2 linked regions of the Astyanax mexicanus genome follow. The protein of the gene in region 1 interacts with the protein of each later gene in a pairwise test. Links are inferred from orthologs where the notes say so. Each region holds a gene or a part of one and is shown in the gene's direction. Other genes may lie near its edges.

What was found.
Region 2: the proteins of hsd17b14 (region 1) and phf1 interact in binary tests that used the Homo sapiens proteins (3 or more experiments, as listed by UniProt). The two-hybrid records come from large-scale screens. The link is inferred for Astyanax mexicanus from reciprocal best matches to the Homo sapiens genes HSD17B14 and PHF1.

The regions. Positions count from the first base shown.
Region 1 is NC_064426.1:17,506,278-17,514,372, reverse strand, and holds the start of hsd17b14 (17-beta-hydroxysteroid dehydrogenase 14), read left to right. Parts: upstream 1-5,084; 5' UTR 5,085-5,234; coding exon 5,235-5,322; intron 5,323-5,459; coding exon 5,460-5,498; intron 5,499-7,079; coding exon 7,080-7,177; intron 7,178-7,286; coding exon 7,287-7,353; intron 7,354-7,490; coding exon 7,491-7,582; intron 7,583-8,095. UniProt on the Homo sapiens protein: Catalyzes the NAD(+)-dependent oxidation of L-fucose, yielding L-fucono-1,5-lactone, which rapidly converts spontaneously to L-fucone-1,4-lactone. Can also act on D-arabinose and L-galactose, with lower catalytic efficiency. Does not use NADPH.
Region 2 is NC_064408.1:114,662,231-114,669,633, forward strand, and holds the start of phf1 (PHD finger protein 1), read left to right. Parts: upstream 1-4,364; 5' UTR 4,365-5,183; intron 5,184-7,403. UniProt on the Homo sapiens protein: Polycomb group (PcG) that specifically binds histone H3 trimethylated at 'Lys-36' (H3K36me3) and recruits the PRC2 complex. Involved in DNA damage response and is recruited at double-strand breaks (DSBs).

The DNA.
Region 1 (8,095 bases):
AATTCTATTGCTTCTTGAAATGTGTTTGTACATTTGCACTTTATAAAGCCTTTTGAAGTGTTGCATTGTGTTGCTTAGTTTTACACTAAAGCCCTGCAGGGACATAATTTTGTTCCACTATTTACAGTCCACAGTTGAAACGAAAACAAAGGCCTCTTTACTTGACTTAACATTCAAAACATCCTACCAGGAAAGGGACAGGCAAGGTCAACGCAATGTGAACTGGTAATGCCACGATCCACAGGCCAACGTGATTTTTAGCAGCTGTCTATCAACAACACCATAGCAACTGCCTAAAATATCAAAGTTACAGCACCCGTCTAACAACCACCTATTAAACCATAGAAACTTCTTAACAACACCAAAACAACCTTCTGGAATACCATAACCACCAGCTAGCAACATCATGAAAACAACCACAAATACCCAAAGCACTAATGTAGCACTTGCATGGAAGTGCAAGCCACGAAAGCTGTGAAACCATTCTGCACTTCCTTCAGGAAAAACACTTCTCACATTTTAATATGCAATTTAATAAATATAATAATAAAGACAGAACTTTCCATTTTCCTAAAAAAAGTTATTTACAGAAGATCATCAGCAAAGCTCTGGATATATTACATAGCATGGTCAAAATAAAAAGAAACAGCAGAAACAGGACACACTAAACAAATATGTTTTTGATTAAAGACTAAATGCTTGCTTTAGTTCCTATTGTGCTTCTTCTGATACATGTGGATTTCCACCACACTGCCACTAAAACAGCACCACTGGAGCTCAACACGCTTGGAGGAGAACTCCAACTGGCAGTTCTGTTACAATCAGTGACGTCAGTAAAGCGTAACTTACGGTAGTAACAGTGGAGGGAGGAAAGAGATGCACGTTTTCTAGCTGGAAATACAGACACTATTCTGAGTTTGTATCAGCTAAGGTTTCTAGTGAAGTGAATTTTGGCAAAATAATTAGTTATGTAGAGGTGGCAGTAACTTAAAAGTAACTTAAGCCTTATCTGTATGGGATTAGTTTCTCAGGGGGATATTTTACACTTCTACTCATTGATAAAACTCCTGCATCTGAAGTGCAATCGAAAAAACAGGAGGACCAGAGAATTTATTGGCTTTCTCTGTCACATGACATCACGTTCAGTAGCTCCTTCATTTCCACTCGCTATTGTGTTTACATGGATCTCCATGGATTTCTGTAACCTACTACAGAAAAAAAAGCTCTACTGACAAGAGCTGCCAGTGCTTAAATATCACGTTTCCTTAATATCTGATGATGATACATACTGGTCATGTTATGAGTAACTACAGAAAATATAATCCCTAATGCTCCTTTAAAAGGGAAGAGGAGGAGAAGGGCGCCGAGTGGTCCAGCTGTCTAAAGTGCTGCCACTATGAGCAGGAGGTCGCAGGTTCGAATCCCAGCTCATGCAGCTTTGCCATCAAGCTGCCGGCGCTCAGAGGGAGCCCAATTGGCCCTGCTCCCTCTGGGTGGGTAGATGGCGCTCTCTCTCTCCAGATGTCAATCCAACAGTGATGTCTGCAGCACAGGGCAGCACAGCACAGGGCGTCTGTGAGCTGACATACTCGAGTTGCTGCGCTTTCCTTCGCGCTGGCTGCTTGGCAATGCTGCATCAGCAGCAGCTCGAAAAGAAGCAGTGGCTGGCTTCACATGTATCGGAGGAAGCATGTGTTAGTCTTCACCCTCCTGGTGTGTTAGGATAGTGATTGGGGGAGTCCTAATGAGTGGGTTGGGTAATTGGCTGTGTAAATTGGGGATAAAATGGGGAAAAAAAATAGAAATAAAATTATAAAAAATAAAAAAGGAGGAGATTTTAGCTTGAACAACATTTTTATGAACACAATATAAAAAGGTGGAGACTTGCATGAAACATTCACCCAAACGTAACTACATTTGCTTTTAGAATTTCGTGGGGGGGATAACCATCACTAGAACATCCTTACACAAAGAAGTGGCTCAATTAGAAGGCTCGGGTGAAGCTACTGTGTCTGGTGCTCTTCAGGCTTTTGGGTTATCTCTAAGGCTAATAATGTCTTCCTTTATAGCCTCACAGCACTCAATGAGTCCACTTCACAGGTGCTTCAAATCTGAAAAGAACAACTTCAACCATATATTGAACAACAGTGGCTTTAAGTTCTGTGTTGCCCCATTATGTTGTTTAAGAGCTAGTCAGCTACGCTCTAAATATGCTCTAAATAACTCTAAATAGACTAAATTTACTGGAAAGTTAGCATAGTTGGCTACTTTATGATGAATGCCCACAGCAGTAGCTACTTCAGCCTGCATTCCCTTTTAAATATGATACAACCATAATAAAAAATACAAAATTGACAGAATATTCTACACAAAAGCAGAGAAAAAGTGTTCTTAAAACTGGGTGTGGCAGACAAAGACTGAAAACTGAGAAACCTGTTCAGAATGCATTCAAAGGTGGACTGGTGAGAGGGCAAGAAAGCTGCAGAACTGCATTAACTGCACAGATGTTTTTTTCAAAGGCCTCAGGGAGCTTTTTGGTCCATGATGATACAACTTACTTCAACAATCAAGAGCAAACCAAACTAGACCTCCAAAATCCTATATAACTATGTTCTAGTCATCTGTAGCTGAGTCTAATTTTTGACAGTTTAAGTAGCATTTAATGTGAGGGTGTTTTACCATTTTATGGATTATAAGAAGAATTTTAACAGTTTTATATGTTACCTCAACCTCTCTGTATTGTTTAAATAAAGATCAGTTGTTCCTTTTCACAGGTTTTTTTACAGGTCAGTATATTCTTTTTGTGTTTAGAATCTATGTGTGCACTAGATTTTGAAACACTTACACTGACTTACACTGATTACCCTGTTTTTTCTGAGCTGAAAAGTTGCTTTTTCTAAACTGGAAACAGATCTACCTAAAACTAGATATTCACAACAGAAACAAGAGAGACAAACCTTCGAAGCAATCCTTTACAAAAGACTACAATTTCATGTCTTCATAAAGAGAACAAATCCCAACTCATCAGACCAGAAAAACTGGATCTGTGACTGATTTGAATGACAAATCGGGCCTCAACAACACATTCTATAGCTTCAAGCATCCCTGCTTCCACCTCAATTTAGGGCATAGCTGGACTGCATAGCTGCAGCCAAGCTGCCCATGCTTATTCCTTTCCACCACCTAGTATGTAGAAATAGATAGAGTGCCAGAGTTTTTAAACACTGTGGACCCAGACGGTGTGCTTTATTAGACACTCCTACATGGCTGCTCCTACTTGTAGATGTAAAGTCAGAGACAAAAGCTGTTGATGCACAGTCTGTGCTCGCTGGAATGCTCACACATGTCTCCATACCTAAACCCTAATGAGCATCTGTGGGGCATCCTTAAAGGAAAGGAAGAGCAATGCAAGGTCATTGTCATGGAGGGTGGAAGAGGATTGTTGCCAGTGGTTTAGATATAAATGTGTCACATCTTCAGCTGTCACATCTGGTGTTGTAGGCGCTCCCTGTCCTTTCACACTTAGCTTCAACTGAGGTTCTCAGTTAGACAACTACAACACCCAGAATGCACCACCCACTGACATCACACACACTGCCGATCACGTGACACCTCACCTGCCCCGGCCAGGAAGTGCTGAATATTGATTATTACCTGCAGTATAAAAGGACTGCTCACACACACATCTGCGCCGCGTATTGCCTTGTTTCCCCCACATTACAAAGTGTTTATTCTGTGATTATTTTCTTGTGTATGACCTTGCCTTTTGTTTTTTCGACCTTGATTTTTGCCTTGCTCACTCTGTGGATTTTCGTGTATTACCTGGACTGTTTATCGTTTCTGTTTCGGATCACCTCTGATACTGCTTGCCTCGTGTATGATCTCTGGACTGTGTATCATTGCTGTTTGTGGATTATCTCTGATACTGCCTGCCCCGTGTATGACCATTGGACTGCCTCACTATCCGGTAATGGTCTTTACCTCCTGGTATCTGTTTACCGGTGTTGTTTACTCTTTGCTACTGTTTTATATAGCCTGTGGGTTTTCAATAAAATCCTTAACTGGTTCCGCGAGTGTCTGTATTCTGTACCACACCATGACATCAGTGTTTTGTAAATATATAACAAAATATTTACAAAAATGTAAAAGGTTTACTTCTTTTTTAGTGAGATACTGTGCGTTTTAATTTATTTATGTTTTTTTTTTTAGTTTTTGTAAATGGATTTTACAGAAGTTTGATTACCGATTTTTTTTAACTATAAGGCGCACTTAAACCCCTTTATTTTTCCCAAAAATCGACAGTGCGCCTTATGTATAAATTCTACCAGTCAGGTTGTAAGGAGCAGAAAAGCCATTCCTCTGAAGTACGGCAGAGGAATTATAAAGGAGTCTCAGTGAAGTTTTTCCAGTACTGAGGCTGAAGCAGTATTAGCTTTAGCTGCTACTACTGAGTATTTTGAACTGCATGTTTATAACGTTAAAACTACGTGGGACGAACTGGCTTACGGGCCCCTGGCTTACTGGAACTGTCGGACAGCATTTACTACCACTAAGCACTGCTAACCACGGCTAGCACTGCTGCTAATCGCACAAAAATATTGGAAATGTAAGCTTAATGTAAATAAACGGAAGTGCTTTACTCACCCAAATAAACCGTTTTCAGGAGAGAAATCTGTGCAGATTAACATCCAGCCTTATGTATAAAATAGACTAGAAAATAAACGTTAATTTCCTTATAATACAGTTCGTAAAACACAGTATTTAATGCATTGAAGTTTTTTCAACACCATTGAACTCAGTCCTCGGAACTCTGTTTAAACTTTATAAAAAGCAACCTAATTTAAGCGTACCCCAAATCAAGCCTAAGAAAGAGTCGGTTTGAAAGTTTGACGCAAATTTAGCTGGGAAAACGCGACCCCCTGGAAGTGTGTCTCAAAACGACCCCCAGGTAAAGAACCCCTGGTGTATAATATTAACAAAGACGGGGTCATAATGTTATGCTTGATTGGTGTAGGTCTTATTATTGCTGGGGCTGCAAACTACAATTCCCACAATGCACCGCCGCAGAGCTCGTGCTGTGCGCCTGATGTGCTTGTGTGTGAGGCTGGGGTTGGTGTTTGGGTGGAGAGCTGCAGCGCTGATTGGTGTGTGTGTGTGTGTGTAGTGTAGTGTAGTGTAGAGAGAGGGAAGTCAGCTGATCGAGCTGCTGCTGCTGGAGCTGCTGGAGGTGCAGAATGGCGAGCTCTCAGCGCTACAGCGGGAAGGTGGCGCTGGTGACCGGGGGGTCGAAGGGTATCGGCAGGGGGATCGTGAAGGTTTTCGGTAGGTACTGGAGAGCAGGTGCAGGAGGAGGAGGAGGAACAGTGTGAACGGAGAGTGTGTATCTGTGTATAAGAGTGTGTGTATGTGTGTGTGTGTGTGTGTGTGTAACGAGGCTCTCCTGCTGTTTACCTTTGCAGTGCAGAATGGGGCTAAAGTTGTGTTCTGCGCCAGAGGAGGTAAATACACCTGTTTATTACACATTTGTACACCTTCTACTTTCTGCCTGCACTCATATTTATATTTTACCTCTTTACCTCTTTCCCTTATTCATTACGTCCTCACTTCCTGTCTATAGAGCTGCACACATTTATCTGAATACTTGTTTATTACTTAATAATATGTACTTAATATACACTTCTGTGTGTTTATTCACATTCTCTCTTCCTTATCTATTCACCTGGTCTACGCCTCTCTTCAGGGTTATGTTGTAAAGGTGTTTATTCTGTACAGAACCCTGTCAATTCAGGAAACCGATTCAGTGTTTAAATAGTTCTATGGTTTTCTAAATACAATAAAAATCTCTAGTTGATTTAAAAAAAAAATGTTTTCTTCGCATCTCTGCATCTTTTTTGTTATTTCAGTCATTTCTCATTTCTGGAAATAAATGCTCTAAATGACTATATTTTTATTTGGAATTTGAGAGAAATTTTGTCCATAGTTTATATAATAAAACAACAACGTTGTCTCTTAACTTTTTCCAGACATCTCTCTCTCTTTCTCTCTCTCTTACTCTCTCTCTCTCTCTCTCTCTCTCTCTCTCTATATATATATATATATATATATATATATATATATATATATATATATATATATATATATATATATAACTCAACATTTTAAGGCAACTTACTGCACTAAATTTTTTTGTTTTGTTGCCAACTCAAACTTTTAAATTTTTTTGAAGAAACACACCACCAGTTGTGCAAACTAGAAAGCTTTAGTTTAGATTTAGTTTACAAATATTAAAATAGGTCTCATCAACTTAAAAACTCACTTTGTGTTTTTAGTTGGCTTCATTTAAGTACTACTAAATGTTTACATTAACACGTTTTACATTAATTAAATTAATACAGTGGGCGCAAAACTATGTTTTTTAATGTACGTTAGGAACTGGAAATTCATGATTATTACATATCTGTATTATTACCAGTCATGTGACCCATTCAGCATATAGTCTATATACACTCAGCAACACAAGGCATAGCAACTTGCTTTTTTAGCCTTTAACACTGAGGACAGGGTTAAACACATATACAAAATACAAAAGCAGGGGGCCTGTGGAGAATATTTACACCCTAATGGTGAGTTAGAGGTGGGGGACATTTGAGGAGCTTAAAATAATTTAAATTTAAATTTATACTGTTCACATCAATATCAGTGTTATCAAATATTGGATTTTTGTCTATAGCATACAGAACTAATGTGCATATTTATTTAATCACTTTATTACTGTGTTATTTTTATTAGTTACCTAGCTTAGTATTAACTTCTCAATAAGCAACCAGAGTATTTTACTTTTGAAAAAAATCTGTTATTTTTCTTTACTGTTGTAAGTTATTATTTTAACTGACTTTGTGAGATTTTAATGATTTTAATGTAAAAAAAATCTGTCCATTAATAATAAAAAAAGAAGAAACAGGAGAAACAGTTGATATAATTCTGTTCAGTTACTGGAAGGGCTTAATTAGTGCATGTTTATTTATTTGTTACTTATTACCTCTTTATTGAAATATCTAAAACCTGCCCTCTCTCATTAGCTGATGCAGGTAAAGCGCTGGAGGCGGAGCTAAATGCAGCAGGTCCAGGCTCCTGTCTCTTCCTGCCCTGTGACATATCCAAGGAAGAAGATATCAAGGTGCACCATCTTAGCCTTTTATGAAACCCATGTCCTCCCCTTATCCTGTCTTCCCTGGCTTCTGTATACTACTGTCTGTTTACCTTCTGTCTCTCTTTTTATTCCTCAGAGACTGATCACTGTGACTGTGGAGAAGTTCGGACAGATAGACTGTTTGGTTAATAATGCTGGCTGGCGTGAGTACTTGACCCCATCCTTCCGTTTAATTTATTTGCTTAGTCAAACTTTGGAGATTCCGCTTTGTTTCACTTCTACAGAAAGCAAAGTTTGACCCAGATCTAACAGTGACGCTCCCTGTCCCTCTCGCTTTCAGATCCCCCCCACAAACCCACGGATGAGACAACCGCAGAGGAGTTTAAAGACCTGCTCAACCTCAACCTGATTAACTACTTCCTCGCATCTAAGGTGAAGCTCCCAAACCAGTCTCCCCTGTCTAACCAGTACTACCAACTTTCTGTCTTGTGATCAATAGGTGTCATGCACTGCATATTTTAGTGCAGAAATCTATATAGTACTGTGAATAATATTTGCCCCCTACAGATTTCTTTAGTTTTTGCTTTTTTATCATATGTACATTTTTCAGATGATCATTTACTAAGGGAAAAAGTCTATAGAAACAACCTCACTAAGACACAAACAGTCTATAATGTTTATAAAAATACACCTAAAAGTAAAGGTAAAGGTAATAAATGAATTTGTATTTGATTACGTGAAATAAGTATTTGATTCCCTACCAACCAGCAAGATTTCTGACCCCAAAAATGCACACTGTCCCAGGTTGCACAAAATTTAGTCCTGTCCCTTTAAGAAAGTACTCTTAATATATCACCTTGTTATGTGTAAAAAAAAGACACCTTTCCATTCAAACCTCTCGACCACCATGTTCAGGACCAAAGTGCTGTAAGGTAAGGATGATTC
Region 2 (7,403 bases), on another chromosome or scaffold:
AATAACAATATTTTTATTTGGAATTTGGGAGAAATGTTGTCTGTAAAGACCACTAAGACACCACTTAAAAATGATGAGTTTCTTTGATTTTACCAAATTGAAAACCTCTGGAATATAATCAAGAGGAAGATGGATGATCACAAGCCATCAAACCTGCTTGAAAGTTATCCAAAAGCAGTGTGTAAGACTGGTGGAGGAGAACATGCCAAGATACATGAAAACTGTGATTAGAAACCAGGGTTATTCCACCACATATTGATTTCTGAACTCTTAAAACTTTATGAACATGAACTTGTTTTCTTTGCATTATTTGAGGTCTGAAAGCTCTGCATCTTTTTTTTTTTTGTTATTTTAGCCATTTCTCATTTTCTGCATACAAATACTCTAAAGATTTTTTTTTTATTTAGGATTTGGGAGAAATGTTGTCTGTACTTTATAGAATAAAACAACAATGTTCATTTTACTCAAACATTTACCTATAAATAGTAAAATATGAAAAACTGACCAGTATTATACCTTTGAGGGTACAATTCAGAAAAGTGTACCTTTAAATACAAGAAAGTACTTATATCATACCTCTGTTTTTTAGTGTGCATGTGTGACAGTGCTGACATATTTTCTTGTCTTTTTGGCTTTCAGTTCACCACACACACACTCACATACCGCCATTTAATCCCTTCATGACTCAACATCTGGGCGCTCCTGGTCTAACAGGAAAGTAATCTAAACTGAAAGTAACAAGCATCTCTAAGTAACTGTTTACCAAATTACCAGTTGACAGATCAAAGCAATGCATGAAAATAGCTGCTGGATTGACTGTGTTACTGTATGCAAGGTGAAATTCTCTCTTTCCTGTCTCTCCTTTTGAGCAGGCGTTCTGTGCTTGCCCTCTGGTGTGCTATCAAGGAACTGACACTTCTGCTTTCCAAAGACCTGCCAGAGGCCATTTTGAACACAACATGAATAGCAGAACTGCAAAACAATTGTGTGTGCTTTACCACATACTTAAAGCTTTGAAATGGTGGCAGCGTTTGATCGCTGAATACAATCAACCACTCAAACCATGCAGCCCGCATGACTCTGACAGCCTGTATAAGCTGGGACTATATATATAAATATATATATATATATATATATATATATATATATATATATATATATATATATATATATAGAGAGAGAGAGAGAGAGAGAGAGAGAGAGAGAGAGAGAGAGAATGTGGCAGTATTAACTAGATCCATGTATTTACATAAATTAGCATTGGGTCCATCATAAGTAGGATAATTTGAATTTTTCAACGAGTTTGTTTGTCTTGTTTTTGAAGACTAACCTACAGCTGACTATAATATATATATACTATAATATATTATATACGAAACTGAACATAGTACTATATGTTAAATACACTACACACTGTACTGTACTATAAGCAAAGTGTATTTTATAGATAGTGTGCTATGTTCACGGCTACTTCTTACTGCCATAATTAGGAGTAGTTTTAATTGGCTTGTTAGATGAATTCCCTCAATTGGGCTAATAATACTAATACTAATAAAAAATTGTGCTACTGGTAAATTTCTCTGACTTTACAGACAACATTCCTTCCAAATTCCAAATAATAATATTGTAATTTAGTGCATTCATTTGCAGAAAATGAAAAATGGCTGAAATAACCAAAAAGATGCAGAACTTTCAGACCATAAGTACTGCAAATAAAACAAGTTCATTCATAAAGTTTTAAGAGTTCAGAAATCAATATTTGTTGAAATAACCCTGGTTATTAATCTCAGTTTTCATGCATCTTGACATGTTGTTTTTGGAAAAAACTGAAAAACAGGTACAGTATAAATTCCGGACTGTAATGTTTTTTGTGCGATAAACAATATTATTGTCATTTTTAGGAGAATTTACACCTTTTTAAAGACAACATATCTGTATCTAATCATAGTTTGGAAAAAATATTTTTTTTCGCACCTGTAGTCACAGTTATTGAAGCATTGTTCAGTTATTGAAGCATGCCAGTCTAAAATACTGTTCACTGTTACAGTTTATATGTAAAAAAAAACATACAATTAAACAGGATATGCAATATCACAATTATCAAATATTATTGAGGAACAGTAAGTCAAAAATATAACGATCACAACTGGCCTAGTCATGCATGTCAATGTCAAGTGAAAGTATCAGTTAGCCTTAATGTGCTTTTAATATTAAAATACATTTTTATCTATTTTAATATTATTACCTTTAAATAATATTAAAGTAAATAACTATATTTAGGCATATCGAGTATTTGTATTTAATGTATTCAAGAGTATAGCTAATTTGTGTTATTATCTAGGTAAAATGTAACTGTTGGCCAATATAGACTGTGCTAGTTAGCTTGCTAGCTAAGTTTATTAGCTACTACTTTCACTTTTAATGGGTCTGTGAGAGGAACTCACACTTTTGTGCTAAATTACTACTAGCAAACATTTACATATCATTGCTGTCCAATAAAAAACAAGTGCCTTTAAAATAGCAACTTTACACAACAGAAAAAAACTTCTAAACTTTCAATGAAAGTTAATGTAAAAAGAGTTAATTTCAGGTCAATTTGAAGTATTTCTGTTGATCTGTTCATCAAGAAATTTTGGCACAATGTAAAAGACCATTTGTCTGTTAAAATAATTTTTTTAGCTAAAAATCAACAAAAATGTAGATACTTGTTTTTCATTGGACAGCGACTATATGTAGCATAGTAATATGTAATAATTTAATTCTGAGCATCTTTGAAAAGTTTCCCCTCTCTGATTAGTACAGTGCTAACAGCAATTAGCACAGTTAGCTGTTAGCACTGGTTTACTTAAATAGCTACAAATACTTCAGCCTTAAACACTTTTAAACAAATCTACATGTATAACATATTAACTAGTAAGTAGCTAACACATTCATTATAAATGTGTTTTATAAATTTTGGAGAAAAAAAAAAATAACAATGCACTAAGAAACAAACTAGCTAGCTAACCAGTATATTTAGTCTTGATATATTGAAACAGATTGACTGACACAGTTTAACTTAGAAATTAGCACAAAATACTGTCAGTACTAAACATATTTACATATTAACATAGTAGCTAGTATGTAACATGTAACAGCACAGAAACATTAAAGGATTTATTTATTTACAATTACACTTATGTAGCACATTTCACAATTACATTCCACACACACTGTGAGAAGCGGCAGCCAATCACGCACAGCCTACTCTCAACCGGAAACAACCATCCACCTGGAGGACTGCATCAGGCATCTGAGTTGACCCAGATCCATATCTAGGCATACATTCAAACACCAGGTACATTTTTTTAGAGTATCCAATTTTCTGGGCAATTTAGATATTTAATTTACCTCATCTCCCTGTTTTTGTGGACTGTGGGAGGAAACCAGAGTCCCTGGAGACCCAGATAGGGACTTGAACCCAAGATCCCAGGAAATAACAAAGCCACTGTGCTTCCCCTTATTTCAGGGGTTGGCAATAGGTGGCCTACGGGCAAGATGTGCTCGCAATATAAAAAATATATCTGGCCCGTGAGGTTGTTTGAACTATAATGAATGTTAATGAAAAAAATAAATTAAATAAAATGCTTCTCAGGCTAGCTTTTGTTTACAACCCTCCCCTACCTCTCTCTGGCGTGCTCAGTTCCCGCCTGTTCTTGGGCTACTTATGAGGGTGTTTTTTCTCCGGCCGTGTCCCAATTCACTAGCCGGGGCAGCGGTACTGTTTCAGACTGCGACCCTGATGACACGGGTTCGTTCCCGCGTAAGGAGTGGTGTGTTTATTTATTTATTTTTTCCTTTCTTCTTGGGTTTACCTGCTTTGAGATCAACTGTTCTGCTGCAATTGGGTTCAACAACCCTCTGGGCTGGAGAGCTACTAGTTTTTAGCGCTTCACCTCATTACTCACTTAATTTTCCAAAACAGATTTTTTTATGGGATACAAAAATATCTTACTTATTAATATACACTTAATTGCCGACCCCTGATCTATTTAAAGACTTAAATCTACTTGTAATACAATTTCCCTAAGAAAATGAACTAAAGACAGTCCAGCAGGCTCGACTGCAGGTTTATGAAAGTGGGCAGTCCCAATTTTAAGGAGGGGATGTTTTAAGGGGAAGGGTTACACTGGAAAACAAGGGGAAGGGGTACCAATTAGAAATGGGATTGGACCTTTAAAGTGTTGAGTGGACGGAGGGAAGGAGAGAAGGAGAGAAGGAGGGGGGCGGTTGAAAACTTTTCTCTCTCCGGCCAGTAGCCTGTGATACACACACACATACACACACACACACTCTCTCTCTCACACTCACACACACTCACACACACACGCACACACACGAGGTGTTGCGTCAACACAGGCTGTCTGTCGGTCACCGTGGGCTTACAGATGTGTGTGAAGGTGTGCGCGCACACACACTCACACACACACACACACACCCCTCCTCAGCAGCCAGAGCAGCAGCAACCCGCCTTATCTCTCCCTCCCACTCGACTGCTCTGTGTTTTATGTCTGCGTCACAACAAGTCGAGAGAGAGACAGAGAGAGAGAGACAGAGAGAGAGGAAGAGAGAGAGAGATGATGATGATGGTGATGATGGTGATGATGATGGCGTCTCTGTCGGCTCAAGCCTCCCTGACAGGCACGTTTTAACAACAGCGGCGAAGGAGAAGAGGAGGAGCAGAGGAGGAGAAGAGGAGGAGGACAGAGAGAGTGAGAGAGAGAAGAGGAGAGGAGGAGAGAGGGAGATGAGAACATGACGGAGCGGCGTGGCACGAGACAGACGGACTGACGGACAGACTCAACACTGACGACTTGACTGACACACACACACTGATATACACACATACACAAACACACTCATATATACACACACATACAGAGAGAGAGAGAAAGAGAAAAAAGAGAGAGAGAAAAAGAGAGGAGAGCACTCTCTCTCTCTCTCTCTTTCTGCTTCACACACACACTCATACACACACACACACACACACACACTCTCTGAAAGCACATCCACAAGAAGAGGAACAAGAAGAAGAAGAAAAAGAAGCAAAGACAAGCAAAAACAGCTCGAGGTCGGACATATTTTCATGTCAAGCACCGACAGCAGTCTCTGTGACCCCAGCAGAGAAGAGTACCACTTCACAGGTAAAGCCAGCATCCTTCTTTCTTTCCTTCCTTCCTTCCCTCCTTCCTTTCTCTCCTCTTTACAATCTGTTTCTCCATCCCCATCATCATGTGTCTAGAACCGGCAACAAGAGTAGCATCAGCAGCATCAGCACCAGCAGCAGCAGCAAATCCATCCCACCCCCCCACTTCTAACCCCCCCCAACCCCATCAACCACCCCCCCGCCCCCTCAACCCTCTCTCTCCCCACCACCTCCATAACTCATAATTCTTCCTTTTCTTCATCTTCAGCCTTATTCCTCCCAAACACAACATCACGCCACCTTTCCTAATGTGCATTCGTGCATTCGAGCTGCTGTTTGCTGTTGCGTAAGGAAGGAAACCCACAGATCCGGTTGTGGATCCAGTACAACAACAGAAAGCAAGCAGCTCCCTCGGAGCTAAAGCCTCAGTCTCTCATCATTCACAGCCCTGTACATTTACACTGTCGCTATGCACTGAGTGTGAGTTTAACCCTTTAGGTGGGAGAGTGCCCTGCATGCTCCTGAGGCCCTCGGGGCTTTCTCCTGCACTTTAAACTCCACCGGTGGAGTCAATGAGGGTGCAAAAAGCAGGGCATGGTTGAAAAAGTGAGGAAAAGTGCTCTATTGGCTGGACTTTGCAAAAGGAAAAAGTGATCAAGCGCCCACTAAAGCTGCTGAGGTGCCACTTCTCGCAGTTCATTATATGATTATGTATCTTTTAGAAGAGGAATATTTGATTATAGTACATTTATATGTCTCAATTAGTGCCTAACTATGAGTGGACTTCTGCTTTCCTGCTGTTATGCAGTGTCTTCTGTTTCTATGCCACCCCCTTGGGTGCCCATTCCAGCAGAGAAAATGGGATGCGTTGCTTTACGATGTTTCCCTACAGGTAAAACTCAATGAGAAATCACAGTGAAGTGTCCAGTTAGGTGCTTAAGCCGCAAGACAGTGTATTAAATGGGATGCAGTGCCAGAAAGGGTGTCCTAACATGTGTGAGAGTGTTGGAAAGTTTACTAATGAAAGTCTCTTTAATAGAGAATATGTGATGTGATGTTCGTATAGAATAGGTGCCCTCTCATTAGGATCAACAGTGTTTGATTAAAAAAAAAAAATGAATGATGTTTAAAAAAAAAAAAGGTAAACCTGCATTTATTCATTCTATTTAAGTTTTTTATGTTTTAGCCAAACCCCATCTAGAATGTACACATGATGTCAGATGGGACTTAATTCCAGTAGGATTTTGTGTGTGAAATAAAGTGGTAATAAAGTAGGTTTGAGAGCCTAATAATATAATGCTAATATTACTCAAGAATAAGGACTATTTTATCACACAGGGTGTCCCAGCATGTGTGTGAGAGTGTTGGAAAGTTTTCTAATGGAAGTCTCTTTAGTAAAGAATATCATCACTGTCCAATAAAAAACAAGTATCTCCATTGTTGTTGATTTTAAGGCTATTATTTAATTTGAACACAAAAACTTTTTTACACTGTATCAAAATTTCTTGATGAATGGACCAATAAAAAGTCTCTAAAATGAAAAAATAAAAATAAAATAAACTCTTTTTCCATTAACTTCCAATAAAAGTTAAGAAAGGTTTTGTCTCTCTCCTGTAAAGTTGCTAAAGTTGTTTTGGAGATACTGGTTTTTCATTGGACAGCGACGATATGTAATGTGATGTCCCTAAAGAATAGATGCTCTCTTATTAAGATTAACTGTATTTGCTAGAAAATGTATTAATAATGTTTAAAAAACAAGTTTTTTTTATGTTTTAGCCACACCCCCTCTAGAATGTACACATGATGTCAGATGGGACTTAATTCCACTAGGATCTTGTGTGTGAGGAGGTAATAAAGTAGGTTTGAGAGCCTCATAATATAATGTTAATCTTAATCAAGAATAAGGACTACTTTATCACACAGGGTGTCCCAGCGTGTATGTGAAAGTGTTGAAAAGTTTCTTCAGTGAAGAATATTGTCACTGTCCATTAAAAAACAAGTATCTCAGTTACTTTGAAAACAAAAACTGTCTTTTACACTGTATCAAAATTTCTTGACGAATGGACCAATAAAAAGTTTCTAAAATGACTTAAAAGTAAAGAAGGTTTTATCCCTCTACTGTAAAGTTGCTGTTTTGGAGATACTGGTTTTTAATTGGGCAGTGATGATATGTGATGTGATGTCTCTAAAGAAAAGATGCTCTTTTATTATTTTTTTT